Linked DNA regions of Rhinolophus ferrumequinum. The protein of the gene in region 3 purifies or fractionates together with the protein of the main gene of each other region. This does not show direct contact. Links are inferred from orthologs where the notes say so. Each region holds a gene or a part of one and is shown on either strand. Other genes may lie near its edges. The genes, in order: UNC119, SH2D2A and LCK.

Evidence for each region.
Region 1: the proteins of LCK (region 3) and UNC119 purify together in Homo sapiens (affinity purification with western blotting; 3 studies listed by BioGRID and IntAct, with this or other methods). This does not show direct contact. The link is inferred for Rhinolophus ferrumequinum from reciprocal best matches to the Homo sapiens genes LCK and UNC119.
Region 2: the proteins of LCK (region 3) and SH2D2A purify together in Homo sapiens (co-immunoprecipitation; 3 studies listed by IntAct, with this or other methods). This does not show direct contact. The link is inferred for Rhinolophus ferrumequinum from reciprocal best matches to the Homo sapiens genes LCK and SH2D2A.

The regions. Positions count from the first base shown.
Region 1 is NC_046304.1:18,869,543-18,879,692, reverse strand, and holds the start of UNC119 (protein unc-119 homolog A), read right to left. Parts: upstream 4,347-10,150; 5' UTR 4,276-4,346; coding exon 4,050-4,275; intron 603-4,049; coding exon 489-602; intron 1-488. Other genes in the region: PIGS (GPI transamidase component PIG-S), read right to left, coding at 5,925-6,200, 6,550-6,760, 7,518-7,618, 8,176-8,321, 9,754-9,868. UniProt on the Homo sapiens protein: Involved in synaptic functions in photoreceptor cells, the signal transduction in immune cells as a Src family kinase activator, endosome recycling, the uptake of bacteria and endocytosis, protein trafficking in sensory neurons and as lipid-binding chaperone with specificity for a diverse subset of myristoylated proteins.
Region 2 is NC_046305.1:1,170,389-1,180,210, forward strand, and holds the start of SH2D2A (SH2 domain-containing protein 2A), read right to left. Parts: upstream 3,973-9,822; 5' UTR 3,888-3,972; coding exon 3,854-3,887; intron 3,253-3,853; coding exon 3,092-3,252; intron 2,430-3,091; coding exon 2,245-2,429; intron 1,665-2,244; coding exon 1,575-1,664; intron 1,388-1,574; coding exon 1,219-1,387; intron 1-1,218. UniProt on the Homo sapiens protein: Could be a T-cell-specific adapter protein involved in the control of T-cell activation. May play a role in the CD4-p56-LCK-dependent signal transduction pathway. Could also play an important role in normal and pathological angiogenesis.
Region 3 is NC_046292.1:22,134,049-22,143,644, forward strand, and holds the start of LCK (tyrosine-protein kinase Lck), read left to right. Parts: upstream 1-5,479; 5' UTR 5,480-5,605; intron 5,606-9,596. Other genes in the region: myotubularin-related protein 9-like, read right to left, coding at 1-82; protein FAM167B, read left to right, coding at 2,280-2,537, 3,214-3,444. UniProt on the Homo sapiens protein: Non-receptor tyrosine-protein kinase that plays an essential role in the selection and maturation of developing T-cells in the thymus and in the function of mature T-cells. Plays a key role in T-cell antigen receptor (TCR)-linked signal transduction pathways.

The DNA.
Region 1 (10,150 bases), on a different chromosome or scaffold from region 3:
GGGGCTCAGTGGGCTTCGGACGGGGGTCCATGCCCACCCAGGGTTTCACCCCAAGGACCCCATCTCGCAGATTTTTAAAAAAACTCCCAGGAGATTCTGATGCACATTGAGGCTTCAGACTTTTGGCTGAATGGTTCCACCTGGGGGGGTTCTCGGTCAGCCGGTCAAAAATTCCAACTGAGATTCCCAGGGCCACGGGAGAAACAGAGGCCTGGGGCCTCCAGGACTGCAGTTCCCAGGGGGGCCTGCAGAGGTCAAGCTAGAGACTGAAGAGACGGGACTATCCTAAAATGTCCAATTCCAGAAAAATATGGGAAGAAAAAGGTGGTTGAGCCCCAGGCAGAGGCACCCCTCATGCCTGGCAACTCCTGGGAATGCTGGGGTCCAACCCACAGGTCTACTGACTCCTCTGCAGCCTTAGGAGTCCCTGGGCAGCCAACTTCACAGCTCTCACCCACCCCCTGTCAATGGCCCACCTGGCCACTCACCTGAGGCTGGAGGCTTTTTGATTTCAAAGAGGACAGTGCCTGAATCCATATCCCGAATCTTGAACCTGACGAAGTCAATCTTGTAGATATTCTCCTCGGGGGAGCACAGGTAGTCTAGGGGAGACAGGGGGCTGCTGCCAGCTCAGCTTTTGTGGGACTCTGGACTAGCTACTACTTTCTCAGATCCCTAAGGTCACTGCCTTCCGGAAAGAATTGAGCTCCTGCCCTGGGGGAACTCCCCACAGTGTGGGGGAGACAGCTCTGTCCCTGAGATCTAATGGGGAAGGAAACAGCTACACCTAGTGGCCTCTGGGGTCAGGGCGGGGCAGGATGGAGAAGGGTGAAGGAGAAGGCCACCTCCCCCACATTTTCCCTCCTACCCTGGAGTGGAGGCCGTTATTCCAGCCTCTGCTTTGCCAGTGCTGGCTTGGTGACTTTGAGCCAAATAGGTCTCAATATAATAGGGAGCCCCCAGCATGAGAGGGAAGATACAGCCCTGCCTTTGGAAACCTCAGTCTAAAAGGGGTGAGTGACACAGTTCAGCCTAAGGAGACACAGTCCTTATCTGAAGGATACCCCCACCCTACCACATAGCAGCCCCTGCTGCTACCTCTAGGTATGTCAGGCAAGGATGTTCCCTGACCTGGGTAGCGCTGGAGCAGATGAACTCCACCTTCCCTGGTCTTTCTCAACCCTGTTCTTCCCCCTTCCCCACGAGTCGCCTCCTCTCCCCATAAGCAGCTTATACAAGCTCAGCTCCCTTAAGCCGCTTAGCCAAAGCTCTGCTGACTCAAGCCCAGAGCCTGGAATATTGGGGGAAGGGGGCCACCTTTGTTCCCATCCCGTTGATCTCCAAATGGGAGGAAGTCTTAGCAAATAGAGGGAACCCCTTGAAAGGTCATCTACCCAGCCTTGGCTCTGAGCCACTCCCAGAGAGAATATGTACAGGGAGGACAGGAAGAGGGTGTGGCAGGTGCAACAGGGGGTGTGCATAGGGGTATCTGGGAGTCCTCAGTGCCCAGAAGGGGAACCGGGAACAGTGGTGAACCCCACCTGAGGAAGCCCAGGAATATGAGGGCCTGAGCCAACCCTCACTGCTTTTGTAGCAGCAACTGCAAGTGGTCACGGAGGCCCTGGCAACAAATAGGAAGGAGCAGAGAGAGGCAGTGAGGGGCTCTGGTGCTGTCAGCCTGCACAGCTTCACATCCTCCCCATAGAGGCCCGGAAATCACCCTCCAGGCCCCTAAGCCACCTCCTATTCCTCTGGGGCAGGAAGAGGAAGTAAATGTAAAGTCATTCTCTCTTCCCCAAGCCCGGGGCAACCCCCTCCAGGAAGGCCTCCAGGCAGCCACCTAGCACCCTGGGGTCCAGCAGGGATGACATAGCGCTTGGGGAGAGGCCTGAGCCCTGGAGGGTCCACCACAGCCCATGGTAGGGAGAGGGCAGTAGGAACGGAAGCGGACAGCCCCTACTTCACCCTTATTTTCACAGAAAGTAAACACCAGTCCAAAGATGTAGAAAGAAGGTGCAGGGCACAGGGAAAGGAGGTGGCAGAACCGGGGGCAGGATCCCAGCTCCCTGTAAAGCCCCCCTCCCTCCAGTCTCCAACTTTTGGAGCTTCTCTCATTTGGAAACAACTTCTCGCAGTCTGACCTCAGTCTCTTCTGCTGCAAACTCAACCTATCAATCCCTCTGTCCTTAGAGGGAGTGAGGAATGGGGGATGCCAACGGCTCAGGACACCACAGCCACTCCCTCCCTTCTGCCAGGGAAGGACAAGGCCTGGAACCCAGGGGCAGTAGCCAAGGGCTCAGAATACAACTGCTCCCTTCCCCTCTGCCACAAATAGCTTCCAAAGCAGGATTCATGGTCCAGTAATCCAGGAGAAGCAAACCTCAGACCTATGTGATTAGGGTCAGAAGAGACCAAGAGGTGCCAGGGTGGAAAGCTCTGGCACCCTGTTCTCAATTTCTACAGAGGAAAGGGCTCCTATGAAACCCCTTCCCCTATTCACCACCCACAGATATCCATCTTTAAGGGTTATGAATTTCCTCCAAATTAGGAAATATATGGTGGTATGTCGGCTAGAACTCCCCATATTTGCAAAATAACCTCTAAAGTGACCTAGGACCTGGATAGGTTGTCCTAACCCCCAGATATCCTATAAGGAAGTTCTGCCCCAGAGCTAACCTGAATCCTAAATGCTGCTGTTGACAATTACAGCCTAACTGGCACCAACATTAGACTGGTCCAGGCCCCCTCCCCCTACCCGTGTCTGCTTGGGCAAGGCAGCTCAACACTCTGGGGGCCCAGCCAAGAATGGCGGCTGCCTAGCTCAGAGAGGAGGGAGAAGTTGGTCCCCCAGAGACCCAGATGTACAGGCCTAGCCCTGCCATCATGGTCCCTTCCATGGTTCTGTCTGGCAGCCCTGGGCTCTGCTGCTCTTGCAGCTCCAGAGCTCAAGTCTACTCTAGCACCCCCACCCCCACAGAGAGGCCCCAAGAGTTGCTCTCACAGAGGGAGCCAGGACAGGGTCACTGATGAATGAGGCCAAGGTAGAGAGCCACTGCCTCTCCAAATGCTTTCTGTTCTTTGAGGCTCAGCCACCACCTCTGCCATGAGGCTTCCCAGTCCTTGTTCCCTGACGATGCTGACCGCCTCTCCTGCCCTGAATGCCCAGTTGTCTGCTTCCAGGCAGCAGCCATGAACAGTCCTGTGGGGCCTTCAGTATTACTCATAAAAGAGCCCTATTTACAGAGCATGCACAGCATGCCAGGCACTGTGCAATAATCAGAATTTATTTTCACAGTAGCTCTATAAGGTAGGTGTCATTATCCCCATTTTACAGATGAACATGTTCAGAGAGGTGAAGTAACTTGCCCAAGGTCACACAGCTAATTACATGGCAAAGCTGGGACTTCAACCCAGGCAGTCCAGCTCAGAAACTCAACCACAGTGGAGACCTTCTAGGCCTCCTGGAAGGGGACAGGCCCTAGTCCAGGCTAAGGCGGGCATTAACCCACTCCCTTGAGAGGGCCCAGAGCCAACTCAATGAAGATTCCTGCTCAGGTCCTTTCTTGGGGAGGGAGATGGCCCCAAACTTCCTGGGGGATCCAGGGTGAGGGCATTAACGGTCAGAGAGACCTAAGGGTTTTAATGTAACTCAGCCTCCTCCTAGCCTCCAGGGTGGGGAATGGGGACAGACTGCACTCAGCGCCCCTCCTCGTTACTGCAGAGAAAGGCCTCAAAGGGCTCTGAAAACTCCATGGGGAAAGGGTCACAGTTGCAGCTGCTGCCCCACCTCCACCACGAGAAAGAGGGATGGACTCCTCAAAAATGAGCGGGGTGGAAATAAATCACTAAAGGAGGGGCACAGGAGATCGGGGGAAGAGGGGACATGGAGATCTCAGGCTTGGAGGCAAGAGGGTAGGGGACACAGACGAGGGTACCCCGGTGGGGGAGGGGAGGCAGGGGGAGGGCGGGAAGGGGGGCGGGGGCCGGGGCTTCGCGCGCCGCGCCGGCCCCCTCCTTCCCGCGGGCGGCGCTCCCTCGCCGGTGCTCACCGCCGGTGATCCGCTGCAGCCCTAGCACGTCCTCCGGCCCGATCGTCTGCTTCCTCTGCAGCGGCCCCAGCCTGGGCCCCGGGCCTGCCTCCGGTTCTGACTCGGACCCGGATTCGGATTCCGCCTGCGGCCGCGGGTCGGGCTTGGGCTCCACGCTCAGGCCCGAGGCCCCCGGAGTGGGCTCCGCCCCCGTCCCGGACCCGCCGCCGCCCTTCTTCACCTTCATGGCCTCGCGGGGCCGCGGCTCGCCTGCTGCCGCCGCCGCTGCCTGCGCCGGCTGGAGCGGAGAAGGGGGAGCGTCCGCAGCCCCACCCCCGGCCGGAGCCCCAGGTACCGCCCCGCCCCGCCCCTGGCCCCGCCCACCGCCAGCCCACCCCAGCTGAAAAGCTGCGGGCGCACTGACCTGGGGTAGTCACCCTGCGTAGGGTGAGGGCTCGCTCTGGGCTTCATTCATTTTTTTCAAGGGGTCCTGGCTACCTCTTCTGTGCTCTGGCCACTCTGCCCCGCAAGCGAGTTCGCATCTCAGGGTCTTCTCCTGGGATGCTCTTCCCCACCCTGTCCTAGTCTCAGCTCAAATGTCACTTGCTCAAAGGCTCCGCCTCACACCCAATCTAAAGGACTAACCCCAGTCACTATCTGATCAGCCTGTTTTTCCTTTTTAATGCATTATCTGAAATTAGTTTTACTTGTTCACGACTCTGCCCCCTAAAAGATCAGTTCTGGGAAAGCAGGGATCCTATGTGTTCTCTATAATATCCCAGCACCTCGCACAGTGCCTGTTGCAGCCCTTGCTCAATATATTCTTTTTTTCCATTTGTGAATGAGTTAGTATCTGAGGGCTTCCACTGGTACAAGCTATTCTCTCCCAGACTCTGCGCTAAAAAGCAGAACTGGATGTTAGCAGCCTCGCTGGGCAAACCAGGACATGCTGAGGGACAACCGCCTCGGTGTCTAAGCCACCACAGGGTCCCCAGGACAGGGAGGCAGGAAGGGCACATGCCAGGTGGAAGCAGGGTGGACCTGTGAGCCCAGGAGGACAGATGCTAGGAAACCACTGCTTACACATGAATAAAGAACAAAAGGTAAGTACCAATTCACATTCAGTGTTTATTGAGAGCCTGGAATATGCCAGACATTTTCAAATGCTTATCACATTTAATCCTCACAACCACCTTGTAAGAGAGGTATCATTAGTGCTGTTTTAACAAATGAAAAACTGAGGCTCAGAGAGATTAAGTAGCTTATTCAAAGCTCCCCAGATGACAAGTGCAGAAGCAAGGATTTGAATTCAGGCATATTTGATCCCAAGTCTAGAACTTTCTCCACTGCATCACACTGCCTCTATGAAAGGGGGAAGGGAACCTCTACCACACACACAGCACCAGGCTGTACCCAACAGGAGTAGCTAGCCAGGAGGGAGGAGAGTAAGGGAGAAGCGGCTGGAGGTGACCTGTACCTGGCTCCTTCCATGAGAGCAGAGCTAGGGCTCTCCCTGAGGGGTCACAGAGAAGTGTGGCGGGGAGGGGCTAGAGACCAACCTAGGTTTTCCCCTAATGCTCCCTGTCAGTGCAAGAGGACTCTGAGGACCAGGGCAGAGCACAAGCTGCCGCTGCCCCAGAGGGAGATAGAAAAGGGCCTTCAGGTTCAAGCCAGGTAAGGAGACCCAGATGATACGTCTTGTGAGGATGGGGGTGGGGACACATGAGCCAGAAGAATGGAAAGGGAAGGGAAGATGAACCCATCTTCGAGTGTTATATTTTGGTTGCTGGAGAGGCAACAGAGGAGGCTGGGAAGAGTCATTCATGGCAGGCCCCTCAGTCTAACAGCTCCCGCCTTGGCCAGAAGGAAAGGCTTCCTACTGAGATGCTGCCCTGCTCAGTCTGTCTTCTCGGGCTTTTTCCAGGACTTGCGGGTCTCCAGGAAGATCTTGACCAGAGACAGGAGGATGGGCACAGCCATAGGCAGGAAGAGCGGGATGTAGATGGCAAACTTCTGGTCATCAGGGAAATAGAGGAGGTGGAGAAGGGATGGATCAAAAAAGGCACGCTCTGAGGACGTCACAGCTTCCTGGCTGGCAACGAAGGCAGAGGCCAGATGCCCAGAGGCCAACTCCTCCGCTGCCTTCTGGACTGCAGCTACAGCCTTGTACACCTAGGAGGGGGCAGGGGATTACCAATTAGTCCGAGGCATTGGAGAAGCGGAGTGCGGGGTGATGGGCCTTACCGTGTCTTCCATCTAGCAGACAGGTTGCCTGGAACTCGCCCAGGATATACGGAGGCCAGTATAACAGGGTTATGGTGTATTTTCTGAGTGCCTGCTTAAAACCTCACCCCACCACCCCCTCTGGACTCCTGCAGAGGGGCTGGCACTGCCCTCTAGAGGAAGCCTGGGACATTCAAGGCTGGCATGCCCACACATACCCTGGACTTGAACGGGCCTGTTTCACCACACCCTGGCCACCCCAATCCTGGGCCACAGACTCCATCCCTGGCCCGCTTACCTCAGATGCCACATCGTCCTTGATGACAATGTTGCTGATCTTGCCCAGAAGCTGGGCCAGGGAAGTAAGAGTGGTGGTGGCTGTGGCCAGGTTCTCCACTGACCGAGCCCAGAGCAGCCGGTCTAGCTCCCAGGCCATGAGCCCTTCACTCTGAGGCCCGGAAAACAGGCATTTTGGAGGCACCTGGGGCTGAGCAATCCCAAAGAGCAGCCTGTAGGAACAGTGAAGTCAAGTCAAAGGGGCTGAGACTAGGAGGTGGAAGAATGACTAAGACTCCTACAAAAACCACAAAGATTTCCAATCTTATCCAGACCCACAGGGGTTTAGGGAAGTACTTTAGGGTCTTGGGGAGTAAGTGGCAACACTAAGCAATCCAGTGCCCAAGCCCTGCTTTAACCAGTATTTCAGCTTTTACCTGTTTCTATATTGGATTTCCAAGATCTTGTTTGACAAAAGATTCCATGGCTAAAACATTTTTGATAACACCAACATGGTTTAATCCCCTCTCACCCTGTCTACCCTCTCTTCGGACAACTAGGGCCAATAGAGCCTTAGTTAAGCGATGATCCAGGACCACCTCTGACAAGACATACGTGCTGCGTCTCTCCCATCCTGCACCCAGAGCAGACGTTGCTAATCAATCAGAATCCTCTTTCCTGATGAGCTCAGACACAGCCATACAATCCTCAACATAGGGGATCAGGCAGCTGACACAAGAATTAACAGCTCTTTTCTTAAGCACCCCTAATCACACTCCCTGACATTCATGAGTCTATTTTTCTTCAAGCAGTTTTTGTCAGCAACTAGTTCTTAGGAGGATGAAGTGATTCTGGAAAACCTTTCTTGGTTTCCTCGGGCTCTAGGCAGAGCCAACGTCTCTCTGCTAGGTGAGATGTCATTCCAGTCAGCCCAGGAGACTGTGGTAGGGTCAGGGGCCAGGCCCCCAAGGGGATCACCCAGGACCTCACCGCAACTGAGCAAGGAACACCTCCATCACACGCACTATGTCCACCTCAACTTTCACCGGCAGCTCCGAGGCATTGTAGGCTTTGGGGTCCACGTTGTACACCTGCAACAGGAAATGAGGTGGCCTCAGTGTCACACCGTGTACAGCTCTGCCCTGTACGCTCTGGAGGCCATGAGAGAAAAGGAAGATATAGTCTGTGCTCTTTAGAAGTGACAAACCTGACGGTATACTACTATTATTTGAATACCGATTAGGAGCGTTCCATAAATGATCTCCATTACCCACTCAAAAGTCCTGTAAAAGAGGTCATTTTATTCCATTTTAGAGTTCCTACCCTTGAGAAACTTCCAGTCTAACAGGGCAGACGAAGTTTCCAGCCTTGCAAGACTCCCACAAATAGGGCCAAGATCTATGATGTACACAGAAGGGTCCTCCGTAAGTGCAAACTGCTTAAGGGTCATTAGAGAAATACTGACGAAAGCAGCAGCAGTGGGGCTGGCCGAGGAGGGGCACAGCTCACAGCACCCTCACCTCGTAGGTGCCCTGCCTCTCCCCAGGCTAGGCCACGGAGGACACCAGAGGAATGACAGGAGAATAATCTCAGGGAATATGTGTCTGTCCCTGGAGCTTGGGCTCTGGGTCTGCATTGTGACTATTACCATAATGCCGCCCCAGCGGGGGCTGTGAAAAGCGTTGGTGGCCACTGGAGCCCCGTCCTTGTCCTGAATGTACAGAGGGGAGTGGGCAAGCTCAGGTACATAGAGCAGAAAGTTGAGCACAGGGTAAAGGGAGGCAGCGCTGGATCCTGTGGTACAAAGAGAAGGGGAGTCAGAACATCAAAACATGTTGGATCTAGATCTTCGTTTCAGGTCGGCCTCTACCTGGCTGGTCACTCACGCTGGACCTCATTCTCCCCAGCTGATAATCACTAGGCTATCCTCCACTCCTGAGTTTCGGTGGCAAAGAATCTCTGAACATTCTCCCAAGATGTACCACATACATGAATTTAGCCCCCAAATGCCCCTGGAATCTCCTCTCCTCTAACAGGCCCCCCTTACCTGTCTGAGACAGCTCTGCTGGCCCTGCCGCATTGCACCCGTATTACTATAACTCTTTTTATGCACAAGTATAAATGTGACCTCATGTCAGTTCCCTGCTTAATATCCTTCAATGGCTAGCCATTTATACCAGGTTCTAGCTCCTTAACGTGGTCCTTTCTGATCTGGCGCCCACCTGCCAGGCCAGCAGCATCTCGGTCACTGTCACAGTTCAACCACACTACACTTCTGGGCCCAGTTCTCTTGTCTGAAATGCCCTTTTACCTCTGTACTCAGCACTGCCACAAAGCAGTCCCTCAGACTTTGCTGAATGAATGAGGAAGGGAGAGACGGAGGGAGGGAGGGACAGAGGGAGGGAATGAGGGAGGGAGGGATAGAGGGAGGGAAGGAGAGGAGAAGGAAGGAAGGGAGGAAGGGAGAGAGGGAGGGAGGGAGGAAGGAAAGAAGGAAGGGAGGAAGGCAGGAAGGAAAGGAGGGAGGAAGGAAAGAAGGAAGGAAGGAAGGAAAGAAAGAAGGAAGGAAGGGAGGGAGGCAGGCAGGAAGGAAGGAAGGAAGGGAGGAAGGAAGGAAGGAAGGGAGGGAGGGAGGAAGGAAAGAAGGAAGGAAGGAAAGAAAGAAGGAAGGAACTTGCTAAGGCCTCATGTGCTGTCCCTCTCATACCCCTTGGTCCACCCTGGCCTAGCCCTGATGTCTTAAATTCCACAGCTAGTGATATACTCATTTTGGTTTGCCTGTATGGCAGTTCTTGGTCACACCCACTCTTCCTAGGTACCAACCCAAAAATGAAAAACTGGAATCCTAGCTTCAAAGTTCCTTAACCTCAATCAGCAGAATTGTCAACTCAAATTCTGCCTTCGTGTACCTTTGCTGTTGTCTTTCCTATGGATCTGACCATATTTTTCCTGGATGATTCACAGGGAGGGAGACACAGCCTATCCATTCATTTATAAAAAGTGCTGGGAAACATGTTTAATAAATGCTTTTGGATATGACGGTGTGGCGATGGAGATGTGAACAGAGTATCATGAAAAGGAGCCCAAATGCCTAGCACTTCCTTGACAGCCTCCGACCAACGCAACCTGGAAACCATCGCTATATGCAACCCGCCTCCAACGCCACGCGGAGCCTTCAGGGTCCGTCCCCAGAAGGGCAGAAAAGACCCTCATCCTCAGAGCTCACCCAGCCGGGACTCCACCGGGTTGATGACATGGGGGAGGCTGTGTGCGGCCAAGTAGTAGCTGGAGGAGGCTGGGTCAAAGCGAGGGTTTACTCCCAACACTGCATAGTAAAGGATCTAGAGAGCAAAGAGGGAGGATGTTATTTTGTTTACTAATTTATATTCCACTTTGTGCCCAAAAAGATTTGAGGTGCCTTAAAAAGATACAATTACAACAGGGCAAAATATAAGAGACAAAATCAGGGCTGAGAGAAAATGAGTGTAGAAAAAAATAACAAAGCCAAAGCTAAAGTTAAAACACTAATATGTTCTTTGAAAACCACATCATTTACCAGGCTTCCTAACAGCCTAAACAAAGAGGGAAACAAAGAATAGCATAATTCAGTGTCCACAAGATCA
Region 2 (9,822 bases), on a different chromosome or scaffold from region 3:
GGGGTGGCCGTGGGGTGGGCAGGTGATCCAGGAGGGCAGAATAACAGGGTCTGGGTGGGAGCGGGGTGGGGGAAGGGCACAGGAATGTGGCGTGCCCTGGGTCCCCTGGGTGAGGAACTGGGATGGAGATGGCAAGGATACCAGGGAGAGGGCGGGGCTGGGGTCACGGGCGATATCAAGCGTCAAACTTAATTTCTTCTGAAACACAGGGCAGGCCAGTCTCTATTTGTGCCGGTGGTTGTAAAAATGCAACAGGCTTGAGAAGTCTTTAGCTCAGAATAAAATCCCAAATCCACACAAGAGTCCATAGGGCCCCCTCCCTTCACCTCTCTGACCTCATCTCCCACCTCACCACCCATGCTAGCTTCCTCCCTGCTCTCACTCTTCTTCAGACACATCAAGCATCCTCCTACCTCAGGGCCTTTGCACCTGCTGTTCCTTCTGCCTAGGAGGCTTTTCCTTTAGTTGTCTGCTGTGACTCCCTCCCTTCATTCATTCAGGCCTCCATTCAAATGTCCCCTTACCAGAGCAGCCTTCCCTGATGTCTCCATGTAGAAGAGCCCCAAACCCGTCACTCCCTGTCACAGCTTGGTGTTTCTTCCCAGCACTTATTACTGGACGGATTATGTGTTCTCTATATTATGTATTTGTTGTCTGTCTCCTCTCATCAGAATGTAAGCTCCATGAAGGCAGGGATATTTTGGTTTCCTTCTGTTTACCCAGTGCCCAGACGGTTGCTGGCATAGAGTGGTCCTGCCTGAACTTCCTCCAGGAGACATGGCTGCCTGCCAGGTAAGTGGCGGCATCCTACTCTCTATTTCCTCCCATCACCCTCACACTTGATGGCCACTCTTTGTGGGTTTGGGACCCGGCTGTCTTGTCTCTGGCTCTTTTTCCAGGGCCTGCCAGCATCTGGTACATGCGGGCACTCGGTAAACAGCTTTTAATATAAACAACAAATGACCCATGCGCCTGTCTGGGCACTCTCACTCTCAGCCCCTGGTGGCTCTGTGCGGCGGGGATGGTTTCTTAATGCCCCTCCCCGAGCGTGCATCTTTCTGGAAGGGCTTCCGGCCCAGACGTGTGGGCAAGAGGCATGGCTGGGTAATCTGTTGTGAGGAGAAAGGGCCTTGTCCTGCGGCCTGAGCTCTGCGTGAGGAGGGGCACGGCCTAGGTCCCCGGCTGAGAGTCAGGGCGGTGTCAGGGGGTGGCTCATACCTGCCGGGCGAGGGGCTGGCTGAGCGTCTCCCCATACGGGCTGAGCGGGCACGTGGTGTAGTGCAGCAGCAGGTCCTGCAGCCGCGTGTGGGCGCTGTCCTCACCCAGCACCACGTGGCGCCCGTCCTCAAGCTGGGCCAGCAGGAAGTGGCGGCAGCAAGTCCGGCTCCTGGAGGGCGCCAGTCCGGATGCGACCAGGGATGCGACCCGCTCCCTTTCCCCGGCCAGCGCCACCCGCCCTGTGCCAGGGTGTCCCACTCTCAGTAGCAGGGGTGGGGAGTGGGGAGAAGGGGGGCGGAGCAAAGAGGGGTCGACAAGTTCAGCCCCTCGGATTAGCGGGACGCCCCGCCCCTCACCTGTAAGTCAGCACAAAGGTCACGGCGCTCTCGCTGAACCGCACCAAGTAGCACCCCTGCGGCCTGGTCTCCAGCAGCCTTTCGGCTTCCCTGTGTGTGGAGAAGAGACAGCGCTGCTCTGACTCTTCCAGCCTCTGCTGTCTCCCAGCTCTCATGGGGGACCCTTACCCCCAACCAAGCAGGCTGAAGTGGCTAGAGAAGAGTGGAGGTGGGAGAGGGGATGTGGGCCCCCCAGGACAGCTTCCAGCCCTGCATCCTGGCCTTGTCCTGGAAGGGCCGCGCAGCACCAGGGATGGCAATAGACTTTTAGATGTCACACGTTACAAGCGGAACAGAGCAGGCAAACACAGGAACAGGAGAAACAAACTGAGGAACTGCAAGGGAGGGAAGAGAGAGCAGAGGGCTGGGCGAGCCCGAGGGACACAGGCGGAGACCAGGAGGAGCGAGGCCTTAGATAGGGGAGGATAACTGAGCCTAGAGAAGGGAAACCGAGGCACTGAGGGGGTTGGGCTGGAGCCTCTCCGCGATCTCCCCCAGGAGAGGTGCCTTAGTGAATGGCCCCGGGAGCCTCCAGGAGGAGATATACCTGGACTCGTAGCCTCAACCTACTCCTGAGACGCAGGACTTGTCCCCAGGCCTCTCTGGGCCTGTTTCCTCCTCCGTGACTCACCTCCGGGTGATGAAGCCGTGGAACCAGGGAGGGGCTGCCCCATGCTGCAGGAACCCGTGGGCCTGGGTCTTCTGGAACCAAGCCCGGGTCTCGGCCTGCAGGGGCTGGTCTCCTTCCCTAGGCCCCTCGTCAGCCTTTCCAGTGTCCTCTGGGCTGGCGGCAGCCCCTGGGGCCTGGGGAGATGCCTGGTTAGGGGGAGAGTTCCAGGAGGGAAAGGAGCCATGACTAGTGGGCCTGCACCTGCCTCCACGCCAGCGGCCATCTTCTCATCCTCACCCCCAGCCCCTCCTGGGCGTGGGGTGGAAACTCCCAACCCCCCATCCTACTTGACTGTTTTAGGGTAGAATCGCCCAGGAAGCCCTTCCCAAGGTCTAACTTAAGTCCCATCTTTAGCTCCAACTGTCCTGGTTTCCCTGCAGGCCTTCTGCTCCCCGCTTTGCTCCTGGGCCTTTGCTCCAGCAGCAGCAAGTGGCAGGCTGTGCTTAAATGTGGCGAGGCCTTCCAGTGGCCAGAAGGTCATTCCCTGGGCTGAGGAATGACGCAGGAGGTCACCCCCCCAGGCCAGAATGAGGGAGCGCTCACCTAGGAGGGGGCACTGGCAGGGCCAGAAGACCAGGGTGTGCTGGGCAAACGAAGGCCGTGAACAAAGACGTAGATGGCTGCTTCCGGACTCAGACACTGTGCCCTGGTCACCTGGGACTCAGCCTGAGCTTCCCAGCTTGTCTCCTTCCCTCCCTCTGTGCCCCACATCACCCCTGCCATCTCCCACCCCTGTCCATCTGCCAGTGCTCCCCCAGGGGAGGGCTGAGGGCAGATGAAGTTGCTGCACGCCCAGGCCCCCACTCACCGAGGCGTGGACAGCAGGGGCTCTGGGGCTGGGCTGGGCCTCCTCGACCTTCAGGGCCTGGAGCCTGGCCCTCGGAAGCAACCCCAGGCCCTGGCAGCCCCTGCTGGTGACATCCAAGGGCTGAAAGGTGCTGAAGGTTGGCGTGGGGGCTTTGCGGTTCCCTGTGAGCAGAAAGAGGACAGCTGGGGCTTCTCAGTGAGGGGCTGCCTGTCTCCGTGTCCCCCATGCCCTGCAGGCTTAGAGGGGCCCTGCATGCCTGTGACCAGGGACCTGGAGGAAAGGGACGGTTATGACAGGAGGAGAAATGCAGGTGGGACATGGGGCACTTCTCAGGGAAGAGGAGTAAGGGGCCCAGGGGGCACAGAAGGGCTGAGGCAGCAGAGAGGCTTGTCCTGGAAACGGTACCACGAAGGGGATCTGAGATGTCAACTGGCCTTCCGGTGGCCCGGAGTCGGTCCCACAGTCAGGGAGGGAAGGCAGGCCCTCCTCTGGCCCAGCGTTCTGCGCCTTCCCCTTTCCCTCCTGCCCTCTCCTCCTTCCTCCCTAAGAAGCATACAGCAGACCCTGTCACCTTTGTTCTCAGGGCTGAGTGGACCTGCAGCCCCAGAGAAGGAAGAGGGGTTGTGGGCACCAGCAATCAGCCTTGCCAGCTCCAGCTCTGGGTGGGGCCCCGTCCTCTGACTGGGGGCTCTGGCCCTGAGAGAGAGCAGGGACCTGGTGGTCTTGTCCCCCCCGACACACATTCTTCAATGTCACACGTACCTTGGGGGCCTCCCTGGGCCAGGGGGAACTCCATGGGTGCAGAAGGAGCCTGGGAGCAGGGCGTGTGTGTGTGTTCCCACAAGGTGTGCACACTCAGCAACTCGCTTGTCACCCCAGCCCCCAGGGCAGGAAATGTCGCCTCCCCACAGCCCTGGCCCTGGCAGAGGACCCACGTCATGGAAAGTCGTAAGACACTGGTCCCTCCCCCGGAAGCCAGGAAGCTAAAGGTGGTGGCGGTGTGGTGGTGGGTTTTTGTGTCACTCTGTGCCTGGCTGTTGGGGAGTCCTAACTGCCATCTGACCTGGCTCCCCGATTCTCTGTCCACTCCCTGCAGACCGGGACTCCCCCTCTCTCTCTGCTTCTGCCCTGAGCAGTGGCAGTGGGGAGGTCAGCCTCAGGGCTGCAGGATCCTTGGAGGTTTATATTCAGGATTGTCCTCTTAGGACACCTGAGGAGGAGAGCTAGGAGGGGAGCGGGCAGTGCTGCAGCAGGAAGGGTGCGGGCAGACTTCTGGAATGACATTCTGAGGTCATATAAAATCTGAGAGGAGAGGTGAAAGGAGGGGGCCTGCCTTCATCCTCCAGCAGATAAGGAGCTGAGTCAGGGCGGGCAAAGCCAGCAATCCTGGGGGAGGGGTGGGGGAGGTGGCCTCCAGCTGGGCAGGCCCCTAGTAGCTGGGCCACTGTTAGCCCTTGTTGTTCTTTATTCAGTGCTGGTCTTAAATGCCACCAGAGGACTAGTTTCTCTCTCTTGTGATGCTCACACACGAGAAGGGGACTGCGAACATTATCCCCATTTTCCAGAAGGGAAAGCTGAAGCTCAGAGCGGCGCCTTGGCCAGGGTCCGTCCATGTCTCAGAAGTTGGTGAAAGGGTTGAAGCCAAACCTAGATCTCTCGCGCCGTGACAGCCAACGGTCCATGCTCTGTGCCAGGCACTGTTCTTGGTGCAAAGAACCCAGAGAGAAAAAGGATCTTGTCTCAGATTGTGTGGGGCGGGATGGATGTGCCCATGAATACTCACAGCGGGGAGTTAGTGGTGTGGGCGGGCCCCCGGGAGCCCCTGGTGCGCGTGTGCGGCTTGGGGTGTCAGAAAAAGATACTGAGCTGTGCTGTGGAGGAAGACGGGGAAAGGTGTTTCTAGAAGACGGGTGAAATGCACGGAAGAAATGGCGTGCTGCAGGGTAGCTGCTGGGACAGTGGCACTAGGGCTGCCACCGGTGGTCATGCAGCTGGAGGGGACACCCCCGGATTGGATGGGTGCGGCCTTGCACCCAGGACAGAGTGGCACAAGGAACGGCACACTGCTTCCTAAATGCCCTCCCCCGCCAGAATGAAACGCGCTCCTTCTGCTAACACATCAGTAGTGAAAGCAGGTCGCGTGGCCGGGCTCATTTCTAGAGTCAAGGGTGTGCCTTCTTCCATACGCCCCGAAGGGGAGGAGAACCAGCTTGGTGGGAATCCCTGCCGTCTACTGTCTACTAGACAGAGGAAGCACCCAGCTCATTTTTCCAGTCAGCAGGGCAAGCTTAGCAAGTGTCTTAGCAGGTCCCAATGCAAGCATCCAAGTGGGACCCTCTCCTTGGGAGGTACACGCTCAGGGTGAGGAGGACGAGGAAAAGAGGGGTGACCCAAGAAAAACATGCAAAAGAACATTGCTGCTTTGGTTACCACTTCAAAATGAGCCGCAATCAGACACCATGGCTGCTTGATGGGCTTTGTTCACTTGGCAAAGGGGCCCTTGTCCAGACAGGGTACAAGGTAGAACCACACCTTGGAGTAAGAAGTCCACAGGCGGGAGAAAGGAGGGGACTTACCTCCCCAGCTGCCTGTTCCCTCCCACTGTCCACTGGTCAAGGTTATGCCACAGGAAGGGACTTAGAAGTGGTTGCGTCTTTTGGACGCAGTGTTCACTCAGGGAGCAGGTTCCGTGGCTCCTGCATTGTGCGCTGTTTGGGATGAGACAGGATTACGGTCAGGACACAGAGAGACAGGCTCAGGGTGTGCTCTGTGAAGACCTAGGACTTCACCTTGGACTTCAGTCAGCTCAGGCCGCACGGAAAGTGCTCTGAGGGAGGTGGCAAGACTTTGGAAATAAGGAGTCGACGAAGAGACTCTCAGGACATGTACACGTGTGTCCCACACCTGCAAGTCAACGCTCACACCACAGTGCAGGGCAGACATGTGTCCTGTACAGACATGTGTTCTTATTCCCCAAGAAGGGAGCTTCAGGTCCGTGAGATCACATAGCCCCCTTCCAGGTAGAGGTCGAGTGTTTTTCTGAAAGACTGAAGAAAGAGGATTAGTGAAGAGAACAACCCCCCCAGCTGTAACTGGGGCTGGGCCTGGGTTACAGAGGTGTTGGGGGAGATGGGAACAGGGGAAAAGGCAGAAAGGAAGGGCGTGGAGGGACTGCACAGCCCCTGCAGCCCACAGGGCCGCCTTCCCAGCCCAGATTCTGCAGAGAATCCAGAATCCTGGTCACCCCACCTTGCGATTCTGCCTATTGGACAGGGAGGAGCCCGGAAACGGGCTCTGTCTCCATCCATCCCGCTGCGAAGGAGACACAGGGGATTGGTGCTGCTTGGAATTAGGTCCCCACCCCTCACGCTGATTGTCCGCTGCTCTGTAACCTGCCCTGGAATGGATCACAGCGGCAGGAGCGTCTCTGTGCAGCCTCGTGATGCCCAGGCGCGGCTCGGTGTGGCTGCAATCCCGCTCTGCTCCGCACGCTTCTAGAAACCATGCCCAGTACTCCATACACTTTGTCATAATTGCAGCGGAAGCAGTTTTCGTTTTTAAAATGGAATCACTCGCTGTCCCTGTCTGGAGGCCTGGGCCCAGGCCGTGGAGTCCCCAGGCACCTGGGCTGGAACTTGATTAGAAGTCAAGGGTGAAAAGGGCGCCCCAAGCACAGGGCCATGCCTCGGGGCTATGTGAAGAGCAGGTGGGGTTTGGGTTGGACCCCCTTGCCGCCCCACTTCTTTCCTTCTCCTCTCCCCTGCCTGGGTGATTTGGGGACGTGTGTGCTGCCAGAAGTTTCCTCAGGCTGAATCCCAACACCACCCAGGAGAGAGCTGGCAGGAGCAGCAGTGGCAGGAGGGTTGTAGGGAGTCCCCGTGCCAGGCGGCCAGTGGCCGTGTGTCCGGAGTGGGCAGTGCCCAGAGGGGTACAGAGAGATTGTGAGGACACTGGATGCTGGGAGTTTGCACAGGCTGCAGAGGGGCTTCTGGGTGGCCTGAGGGTCAGGTCCCATGGTGCTTGGAGGCCACCAGGAGGGGAGACCATGGACAAGTGGAGAGGATCCTGGTGGTCTCAAGGGTCCCCAGAGGAGCAAGGGAAGCTCCAGGCGTTCTGAGGCATCTGTGAAGCTGAGGGGGCGTCTTTGGGGTCAGGACAGGAAGATGTTCAGGGTGTCGGCACCTCATAGACTCTGGGGGCTGGAACTCGAGGTCTAGAGGGGATGGGGCTCAACAGGTCCCCTCTTCTCTCGTCCAGCATGGTCCAGCGTGTAGACGCTGTGCCTGAGAGGGAGTCATGGCAGCCAGTGTTGCGGGCTCCTGGTACTGCCCGCGTGCAGCCCAAACATCACCCACGGCCTCTGAAGGAGGAAGCAGATCGGCTGGCAGATGTCCCAGCTCAGGCATCCTGCCGTGAGCCTGGCAGTGGACTTTCCATTTGACAGATGAGCTAAACTGAGGCCAGGAGAAGCAAATGCTCAAGCAGACTAGGAGGTAGGTTTACCCTAAGATTTGGTTCAGTACTTTTTCCTCTCTGCCCTCTGCCCTGGCTGGTTTGCTATCATTCATTCATCGAGCAGCCACTGACAATCAGTTATGTGCTGGAGTGTGAGGTCGTGTCAAGGACTACAAGAATAAGACATGCGGGTAGGGGAGATACACAGGTAAACAATCCTAGACGATTCAGAATGACAGGAGCTAAGCTAGAAGCATGGGGTTCAGCGGGTGTAGGAAGGAGTGGTCCTCCTGCCTGGGACAAAAGGGTCTGGGGGAGAGAGGTCAGGAAAGGCTTCGCAAGCACCAATTGGCTGTTACACAGTAGTCGTGGGATGTGGGGTACAGCACAGGGAATAGTCGATAATATGGTGACAACTACGTGTGGTGTCAGGTGGGGACTATACTCATTCGGGGGATCACTGCGTAAATTATATAAATGTCTATCCACTCTGCTGTATACCTGAAATTAATATACAATAATACTGAAAGTCAATTGTAACTGAAAAATTAAAATGACTGTAGTCGTTTTAGTCAACAATACGGTGACAGTGTGGATGGTGTCCGATGGTTGCTGTCCTTGTCATGGAAATCACTTCTTTGGGTATAGAAATGTTGAATAACTATGGTGCACCCCTGAAACTCATATAATAGCATATGTTAGCTATATTTTAATAAAGATCTTTTGTAAAATAAGAAAGCTTCAGAGAGGAGGCGATCCTCGGGGTGGAGGAGAATGGAGGCCATTCTGGGTGGAAGGAGCAGTGACGACCTGGAGGCTGAGAGCTGCGGTGGCTTCTGGGGACAGTGTGGGTGTGCAGGGCAGAGGGCTGGAGAGCGGCCGAGGGGCAGCCTGCGTGGGAGCTTCGTCTTTAGCTGGTTGGCACCAGGGAGCCACTGAAGGTTTGAGAAGGGCAGTGCTGAGGTCCAGTGTCACCTCAGTCCTGTTGCAGCAGTGGCCCTAGCACAGTTCCTGAGGGGGCCGCATCCTGTCCGCGAGCCTGCGCCCAGCACATGGGGTATTCCTCCAGGGCTCAGCCCAGCTCTCGCCCCGCCTTTGTGACTCGTCACCCACCGCAGGTCCTACTGTGAGAAGGGCTCAGTGTGTCCCAGCGTGCTATAGGCAGTTTGGTGCTGGGGCTGACAATTGCACAAGCCAGAGTCCCTCCCCACAGCACACATGTCCACCTGTTGCCAGAGCTCCTTAGCCCAGTGTGGGCACCTTGCAGACAGCGGGACATAAGGGACGAAGCTCTTTGGGTCCCGTCTCCGTCGTTTATTAGCTGTGGGACTTTGGGCAAACTCTCTCACTTCCTCGTGTAGAGTGTTGGATCATCACGGAGCCCCCAGGCTGCTCCGTGTGTGAGAGCGCGTGTCAGGTGCAGCCGTGCTCAGTGCATTTCAGTGCTATAACGATCGTGCTGCAGGTCATTTGCCTGTTTGCTCCCAGCTCTAATCCCTCCCTTCTGTGCTCTGTGAGGCCGTGACTGAAACTCCGCAAATCAAACCATGTTTCCAGCGGGCTCTCCATCGCAGAGGGACACAGTTGGGGCCTTGCTGCTTCATTTGCTTCTTTTCCACGTCCCTCCTGCACCAGCTGGGTAACACCACCTCCTCTGGGACCTGGTCCCACCTCTATGAGAGCCCTACCTGAGTGTCCAGGTGCTGACAACCCCCAAATCACCTGCCTGTTCTCCCAGCCTAGGGGTGGGGCTTCTCCTTGCGGTGATCTCTGCGTGACCATGTTCCCTTTGTGATTTTCAGCCCGCCCACATTAGTCCAGCCAGTCTCTTCTATTCAATACTCTCTGTGCAAATACCTACCGTGGTTTCTGTTCTCCTAGGGCGCTCCTGACACTAACCCCATGTACACAGCAGCAGGTACACGGTGCCCGGTGGACGGTGCAGAGGTCAGAAAGGGCATCGGGGAGCCTCAGGGACCAGGGGTGGGCTGGGGGTGGGGATGGGGAGAGCAAGTCCCAGCAGCACTGGCCAGGTGATGGGCAGCTGGGTGCCAACCAGTGGGTAGGGAAGAGTCTAGACTGATGGAATCCTGGCATTTGTATCAGGCTGGGGTGGTCCTGACGCTGGAATGGCAGGTTGCAGCTGGAAGAGGAAGGCTGACAGGGAAGATGTAATTTCGAGACAAAGGAGGGATGGAAGGACCAGTCAGCTTATCTCAGCCCTTGAGGCAGGGTGGGTGGCTGGTGGAAGGGGCGGGACCTCCAGGAACTGGCTG
Region 3 (9,596 bases):
TGCCGCGCAGCGGGGGCGCCTCAGGGCCCCGCAGGAGCTCTGCTTGGGCCCGGCCCGTACGGATCAGCTCCGAGAACTCCATTCCCGCCTATGGTGGGCCTGGGGCCCAGCAAAAAGACAGACTCCTGTAGTGTCAGGCTGAAAGAGCGCGGGCTCTGAAATGGACAGGAACTGGCTGGGCAGCTGGCGACGCCGGCAAGACAGCTGTTAAGGAGGCCCCTTGAAGGAAGAGATTGAACAGTATCACAGGAATTTCCCCTTCTTATTGCCAGCACCTCTTAGCGTGGACGCCAGTCAGAGCCTGTTAAGGAAACCTCAATTTTGTCATCTGTGAAATGGGGAGAATAATCTTGCTTAAGCCCTTGACCTCGCCTGATTTGCAGGAAGCACTCAATATTTTTTTTATTTTTTACACTGGGATGTTGACACTCCAGCTGATTTAAAAAGGAGAGAAAAATGCCATCTTTTCTCCTAGACCTGGTGGAAGGGGTGGAAAGTGTGGGCGTGAAACGTAACTGCCTACTTCCTCCCTATATCTGAGGCTGGTGGGGGAAAATCCCTTGGTCCACCTTAAATGCAAGCAGCTGTGTAGTCGGCTCCTTCCCCCTACCACAGCTGGAAGTCTCTGCCTGAGGGCGCCCTCTATAGGGGCCACTTCTGATTTAGTCCTGCCTTCTGGAGCCCCATGCTCTATCACTTCATCCTTTGAACACATATGAATTGCAGGTACACTGAGCTGGGTTCCATATTTGGTGTTGGAACCCAAAGGTGACTGAGGAGGGTTCTGTTCATAAGGTTTTCAGTTCTGGTAAATTACACGAGATTAAACCGATTTACTGGAGGACTCATCCATCTAATTCTTTCATTTCTTAAACACTGATGTCTACAGCTGTGTTAAGTGCTGATTACCATAAGAGGAAGAAGACCCACTCCTGCCTTCAAAGGGCCTTCTGGTCCACTAGGTTCCAAGCTCTTGTGTGTGTTGGGGAGCGGGGAAGGAGGCATGCAAAACCCTTCTTTCAAAAAAAAAAAATCATACATGGACCCTCATAATATAAACATAAAATTGGAACTACTCTATGAAAGGAACCAGATAATAGAGTACAAACTGTAAAATTCCAGACCAGCAGCACCAGCCGGGATGGGAATTGGTTAGAAGTGCAAATTATGAGGCCCACCCCTGACCCCACATATACTAAATAAGAAACTCTGGGAGTGGGGCTGACAGTATTTTTAAAGAAGTGTTCTAGGTGATTCCAATGCATGCTACAGATTGATAACCACTAGAAAGGTGTTTTTGTTTTTTTTTTTAAAGGCTAAACTAATCTATGCTGTTGGAAATTAGAGTAGTATTACTCTTCGGAGAGAAGTGACAGGCCAGGAGCACAAAGGCTGTACCAGCCTGGATGCTAGTAAAACAGAACTCTGCTGCTTGACCTGGGTGCTGGTTACATATGTGTGTTCAGTTTGGGAGAATTCATCAAGCCGTGTACTTATGATAGGTGAATTTTTCTGTGTGTATGTTATTTTTCAGTACAAAGTTTACAAAAGGGAACTGCTCTGGTTAAAGCCCTGGGAGAGGCCCTCCAGGAGAGGCAGGTCTAAGAGCCCATCCACAGCTCTGTCCTCACCCGGCACTGTCTCTGAGGGATTTCCAAGGGAACCTGAAGTTCCTTAGAGTACAGTTTGAAATCTTTGATCTGCCCCAACAGAGAGTCAGTGACTTGTCGAGACCCCACATCCAGCACCAGAACCCAAGTCTCCCGACTCCCAGGCCAGGACTCTGGCCACTATTCCTTTGCTGAAGGACCAATGCCATGAGTGACGATGGGGCCAGCTTGTCAGCCTTCTATCCCCTCCCCCACTCCCTTACTTGGGTGTTGGGAAAAGGGCCAAGACTCTGGTGTGGATGATGCTTTTCTTATCCTGCAGCAACTTCCTTTCTGGGAACTGGGTGTCTCCTTCTGGGCAAAGACAATAAAATTCATCCAAGGGGCTAGAGGATCAGGGCTCCTCCTGTCACCACCCAGATGGGCATCACGTGGCTCCAGGGTTACAGTCCAGGAAAATCCCAGCCCTTGCACACTCGGCCTCCCATACCCATCTACTCACCCACCCTGATACACTCAGCCTCTTCCAGCCACCTTGAGCATTCACTATCACACACACACACTCCCTGGCACACTTCTTTCAGCTTTTGCCACTTCTCCCTGAACAATATTGCCAGGCTTTCCCTAATTCCAGAGCTGTAGCCTTTTGTCACTTACCCCAAACCCACCATGTCCTTGGGGCCACTGAAATTCCAGGCAGTGGGTGAAGAAAAGGAGGATGAGGAGGAAGAGAGCCTAGACTCTGTGAAGGCGCTGACGGCTAAGCTGCAGCTGCAGACACGGCGGCCCTCATATCTGGAGTGGACAGCCCGGGTCCAGAGCCAGGCCTGGCGGAGGGCCCAAGCCAGATCTGGGCTGGGGGGACCTGGGGCCATCTGCGGCTTTGACTCAGTGGATTCTGCCCTTGAGTGGCTCCGACGAGAGCTGGTGAGTCTGGTGGGGTGGGCAGCCTTGCAGAGGGCCTTGGGATAGCACTTCTAAGGGCCCAAGACCACAGGTGAGGGGCAAAGATGAGAATGGACCCCACCTCCAGCAACTGCCCACTCCTATGGCTGTGTCTGGGGGCTGAGGAGCAGGAATGGATTTGTTCAGTGTTTTATTCAGGAGCCTTGCTGAAGGATTCCATTCAGTCTGCTGACCTTGTGCTTCTTTGGCTCAGGAGACAGTATAGATGGGAAAGGCATGGCCTCCCCTACTCTGGGAATTTGCTATATCCCAAAGACACTGTGAAGTACAAAATGAGGTCAGTACAAAATGAGCATGGTCAGTACCATGCTGTAGACAGAATCTGAGGAGGCAAAGATGAAATAGGTGGTTTTTACCCTAACATGTACAAATATAAAGATGTCCAGGCTCCATATTGGAGATTCCACTTAGTTATCTGGGATGGGGCCCCAGGAACGTGTTTAACAATGGCTCCTTGTCTTAGTTTTAGAACCATCGGTATGGAGCAAGAGCAGAGAGAGGGGAGGATCAAGCTGGGGTGAGAGGGGGTGTGGAGGACACATCCAGTGCAAGGCCCCAGGGTGTTGACAGGAAGGGAAGAACAGGGCTAGCAGCTGAGCGCTGGTGCAGCAGGCTAAAGGCCCCCTCTCTGCCACAGCAGGAGATGCAGGCTCAGGACCAGCAGCTGGCCGGGCAACTGCTTCACCTGCGGGCCCAGCTGCACCGGCTGAAGGTGGACCAAGCCTGTCACCTGCACCAAGAGCTGCTGGATGAGGCCCAGCTGGAGCTGGAGCTGGAGCCAGGGGCCGGCCTGGCCCTGCCCCCACCGCTGCGGCACCTCGGCCTCACACGCATGAACCTCAGTGCTCGGCGCTTCACCCTCTGCTGAGGGGTGCCTGTATGCCTCCTGGGCCACCCACTACCTCTTCCTCAGCCCACCTGGAAAGGGGGAAGCAAGGGGTGCCCCAGAGGCGCCAGCACCTGGTGAGGGAGGAGGGTTGATGGGTACACACTGGGCTCTGAGAGCATCCTGTCCCTGCTGCTGCCCCAGTTGTGTGTGTGTGTGTGTGTGTGTGTGTGTTAGGGGAGGAGCTCACAGACACCCACCAGGCTCCTCAATAAATGCCCTCTCTGCTTCCCATCAAGGTCTCCGCAGCCATTATTCAGGTTCAAGGTCGTCAAGTGTTATCTGTTGCTGGGACCAGGGATTCCGTTGCAAGAGAGAAGACCTGGGTTGGGGTGGAAATGAACTGATGGATCCTCATTTCCCCCACAGCTCCAGCTCTATGGCTCTATCTTATCAAGATCAGAACTGGGGAAAAACTTAAAATCCTAAATCACGTCCATGGAAGGTGACTTGGGTACGTGGGCAGCTGAAGAATGCAGAATCCGGTAGAACTGGACTCAAAGGCAGCTCCCCCATTTGTTTCTATCAGATTTGAGAAGGTCCCTTAATTCCTGAATCATTTCCTTTACCTCTAAAATGGCAGTGCTAATTCTCACTCCCCAAGTAGGTGGATGTTTCGTAAGTGGGAGAATGCACAGTAAGCACTCAGTAAATGTGAACTATCTGTTGCTTATCCTTACTATCAGCAGTGGTGTTATTACTATTGTGCTGAACCCAGAGATGGCCTGTGCCATGCTCAGGTTCATAGCTAGGGTTGCTGACGCCTGCAGCCCAGACTATGGGCTCTGTGTCACTGTAGTTGGGTTTTGTGTTTTTTTTCACTTTGTATCTCTCAGTCTTTGTTTCTGTGTTACCCTCTTTGTCTGACTTTCCAACTCAGGCTTCCTCTTCCCCCCACCCACTTCCTGTCTCCCCCTTCCCTCTGCAGCTGAGGTGCACACAGCATCAGCTTCCACCTCACAAACCCCAACAATGCTCTGTGGGCTCCCTTCCCCCAAACTGCTCACTCAGTGTAGGCTCAGGCAGTGGTGACGTGTTTATACTTTCCTCTGGGTGGGGTCAAGGCCCAGCTCTTGGGCCTGATAAAGGCCACCTGGAGCTCCTCATAACACTGATGACCTGGCCCTCAGACTATGATGGGTGCCACCCTCAGTGTGGCCTCCGGGTAAAGGGAGATTCTTGGCCTGCTTGCTGCTGTGACAAGGTTCCTGCCTGTAACAGAAAATGCTGCCAGTCTGCTGCTTGCATCTGGGTGCTTGAGAAGGAGTGTTTGTTCTAGCTTCCACCTGTTGCGGGAGGTGGTGCCAGGCTCTGCACCTCTAATAGGGTTGGTGGCCTTGCCACTACCTGAATTAGAATTGTTCCCCAACTCTCCAACCATCATTAGTGGGTGTCGTCCTGTCCTCTTAAAGACACAGCGTTATCCTGCCTTCTTCCTTAAACAGCTTGTTGTCCTGCATTCTGTCTATAACAGGAGTGTTAGCCTACCCTCTGACAATAATAAAGCTGTTGTCCTGTGCCCTGAGATGACATGGCTATTATTCCGACTATAGCAGCCATGTTAGCTTGATGTTTGAAACGTGGGTGTTCTGCTCTCCAACTACTTAACAGAGGTATTGTCCTCCCCTTTGCCCCTGAAATGATGTTACCTTTGCCCTCAGACTGTAATGAAAGGGTCCTTCAGCTCGCAGACTGTGACAACAGTGCTTCTTGCCTTTCACTGACAGCTGAGGGTGTGTCTGCGTGCCCTTGCTCATTGGGGTTTAAAGGCTGCCCTTGAATCTTTTGTCCAGGTGTATCCTGGAGGGCAGGAGGGAGGTTCCATCAAATATCCTCCCTTCACCTCCAAGTACCACCCTCAGGGTGAGCAGGGCCTGGCCTGGAGACGTACAGGACCCCCAGAGACTGAGGGTTGGGGGGCTATGGTGGCAGGAAGCTTGGGGTGCTAGAGGCTTGTGGTTGGGCTGCTGGGGCCCGGTTGACTGCGGAGCCCTCAGGAGGAGGCAGGAAGTCAGGGTGGGACGTGGGCGCGAGGAGTCAGGTGGTGGCTACGACGGTGAGGGGAGCTGAAACTCTGTCTGGGCAGCCAGGCTGGGCCAGGAGGACCATGTGAATGGGGCCAGAGGGCTCCTGGGCTGGGCAGGTAAGGAGTACCGGGACAGAGGTCCATGGGGCTGGTGGGGGCCTGATGGCAGGGGGCTGCAGCTGGGCACGGGGCCAGGCTCCTTGGGTATGCAGCAGCCCTTCAGTCTTGGGGTTGGGGGCACAGAAGAAACTTGCTGGAGGTCAGGTAGGAGGCATGCAGTGCAGCCAGATCAATTCTTTCCTCTGTAGCTGTTGGCTCTTGGTTCTGCCACAGGGCCGGCCATCCACCTCCACCTCACTGGGATATCTGGCACATGGCCTGTCGGGTATTGACAAAGCCTTCAGAAATCCCCAAGTCCAGTCCCTCATCCCATGGTGGATGAGCCTCCTGAGTCCCAGAGAGGGCAAAGGCACTCCCTCCCTGCTGTCCCTCAGCAAGGCAGTGGCAGAGCCCTGGGAAAGGGTGATGGTGTAGGCTATGACCCCCACTCCACCATGGAGCAGGGAGAGGAAAAGGCTTGAGTCAGGGGATCCAGGAATCCTTCTGGTTGCTGGGTCAGAGCCCAGGGACAAAAATCTCCTGAAAGAGATCAGAGTCACCCAGACCATCCAAATGGACACGTGTGAAGTGATTTTAGCCTCAGTGACCAGCACTGCTTGGGAGAGGGAGGTGTCTCCCGTTTGGAGCAGATGGAAATGCGAGGGCACATTTATCATCTGGAATGGGGCCTCCAGGGCGGAAGTATCTGACCGGAAGCTGGGAAGTCGGAGGGGAGAGAATGAGGGGAGAAGGTGAGAGGAAGGGCTATTTTTATCCAGGACAGGGATGCAGTTGGCCCTGGGCGAGGACCGTCTGAGCTCCCATCTGGAAAGCTGCCATCCCTACCCCTGCCAAGTGTCGCAGGATGTCCTCCCCTCTCCCCTCGCTCACTCCTGCTGCAGCCACACACACAGCTCCTACATGTGTAGGGCCAGTTGGTCCTGCGGATTATTCCTGCTTCAAACCCCAGGAAAGCATAGTCAGCTACCTGCCCACCCCCTCACTGTGCAACTCTCAGCCTTCAGTTTATGGGGAGAGTCCCCACCTGCACCAGACTTTCCAGGTTTCCCCTGCCATTGGAGTTTTTCTTGACACACAATTTCCACCTAGTCAGCACGTCCCAGCCTTCTCCTGTCCCCAGCTCCAAGGCCTGCAGACTTTTGTGGGGGCTGAGGAACACGCTGGCTCTTCCTGCACTTCAGGGGGGCTCATCCACACCCTGAACAGGCATGAGCAGGCCCCCTACCCCCATCCAGCCTATGCTTGTAGATGACTCAGGGCTCCTCATCCTTGGGGCTCAGGGAGAGTGGTTCTTCTCAAAGGGTAAAAGGGCCAAGTGATGGGCACGAAGACAGGCTGAGCATTAGAGGTTGGGAGAAGCCATCCCTTAGGTTACCTGGAAGGCTTCCTGGAAGAGTCAGCGCAGTTCTGAGAAGGACAAAGGTCCATTTTGGAAAGTTCCCAGGACATGAAGCCAAGGTCACTGTCCCTGGGTTCTGTTCTTTGGGTACCATGAGGTCAGAGACCTGCAAGCAAGATCAAATGCAAGAGTCAATGCAAAGAGCATGCGTTTCAGAGTCGGGCAGGCTAAGGTACTATTCCAGTTCTGCTATTTCCTTGAACGAGTGGCTTCACCTCCCCGAACTCCAGTTTACTTATCTGTATAGAAGCAATAATGAATTTCTCTCTTACAGAGTGCTTGTGGGTAATCAAAGAGATAATAATGACTGTGATGTGCCCTGTAATGGTCTAGGCTGTGACCCCCATGGAGCAGGGTGATGAACAGGCTTAAGTCAGGGGACCCAGGAATCTTTCTGACACATAGTAGTTGCTTGACAGAGGTTTGACACTCTCTCCTCCTGCAAGTAGTTTACCAAACGGAGGACTGTCCACACCCAGAATTACTCCTACTCAGCGCTTTGGGAGGCCAGTGAACCACCCATTCCCTCACACTTGTGCTGTGGCTTTGCAAATTAGCTTGTTTCCTGTGTATAATGGGTGTGAGAATTCTAGACCGGGCCACAGATCTACCTTAAAGGAGGGTCCCACACACAGTTACCATGTTTCCCCGAAAATAAGACCGACCCAGCTGGGCAATCAGCTCTAATGCATCTTTTGGAGCAAAAATTAATATAAGACTCGGTCTTATTTTACTATATTTATATTTTACTATACTTATAGTAAAATAAGAGCGGGTCTTTATAGTATAGTATAATATAATATAATATAATATAATATAATATAATGTAATATAGTATAATATATAATACCAGGTCTTATATTAATTTTTGCTCCAAGAGACGCATTAGAGCTGATGGTCCGGCTAGGTCTTATTTTTGGGGAAGCAGGGTATACACACGCACACATACACACCCTATCCCAAACACCATACATATTGTCAGTGGAAAATGTGTGTGTGTGTGTGTGTGTGTGTGTGTCTGTGTGTGTTTGCATGTATGTTCAGAGGCAGAGGCAGGGTCTACACATACAACACACACTGGACCCCACAAATCCATACACACACCCACAAGCTGATGGCTTCAAGGCCAAGCTTCATTCAGTGAAAGCAATGCTCAGAGAAGCTGAGTGTATGGGGGGCATGGGGACACGTAGGACCACAACAATATCCAGGGATGTGGCCTTCTCTAACAACCAAGTTCAGTGTTGGTTTTAAAGCATCTGGAGTTGCATTTCCAATGCTTGCTCTAAAGAATGTTATTTCCAGAGGTGCCTGGAAAGAAAAGGTTCTCGGGCCAAATCAACATGGCCTCAGCTACAAACTGTCTTGTATTAACTTCACAGTCAAGCTTGTGAAAGCTCTGAAAGTCCCTTCAGAAGGAGCCAGATTGATTTTATCTAACCCAATGTTTCCCAAACTTCCTTGGTCGCAGAACCTTTTTCCAGTAGTACCTCTTCCATGGTTACAGTTCTTGAGACAAGGAGAGGAATGGAAGGGCAGGCTATTGATCCTCCTCAAATGATCCTCTTCTGGCAGTGTTTGCATTGGTGGTGGTTTTATTGTTTTTTGCTTTTCAAGTACAAAATTAGCACACAGTTGTTTTTAAAACTTCAAACAGTATAGAGGCATATAAAGAAATACAAGAAATGCAGCTCCCTCCAATCTTACTTCTGGGATATGCTCACTATGAACAATTTGGTGAGCGTCCTTCCAGAATTTCTTATGTATGGCTACTGAAAAGCCTAGCGGTTAAGAACCTAGTCTCTGGAGACAGGCAGAACAAGGCTCAAATTGCCACTCCACCACTTATTTGTTTGTTATGAGGCCTCAGACAAATCGCTTTACCCCGTTTGAGCCTCAGTTTTTGCCTCTGCAAAATGGGGATAATAATAGCACTTACTTCATAGAATTATTATGAGAATTACATGAAACTATGCAAATAAAGGCTTTGCACAGAGCCCGGCTTAAAAGAATCCCCTATATATACATATTGAAATGCAAATAGGCTTATATTCTACATTCTGTTTTGTAACTTCTTACCCTGTTATGTCTGTGACATTTTTCCATGTCAATACATGGAGATCTACCCCATATTTTTAACAGTTTTAACTAGACTTCGTTAACTTGGTAAGTGAGTAATGGTGGTGATTTTGAGACGCTACTTCCTGGCAAGTATTGCTGTTTTGTGTTGTTAGTGTTAGTGTTGGAGTCAGACATTACTGATCAGTGAGCTAAAGTAAAGACAAGCATTATGGCTTCCTGTAAAAGAGTGCTCCGCCAGAGCGGCACCCACCTCTGTCAGAGGGCAGGATGAAGTGGACGGGAATCTTCTGTGTCCCCAGCGTTAGATCAGGGCTTGCCACATAAGAGGTACCCATTACATTTTCATCAATAGACTGGCCAATTAAGAAAATTGTGCTTCTTCTAGCTCACCAACAGAGGCCTAAGCCCAAAGTTCTGTCTCACAGTACAGCATTTCCCCAAATATGGCCTGTGTATCATTGATGAGGGTGAGTGATTTTAGGGGGTAATGAATGGACGTTTACAAAT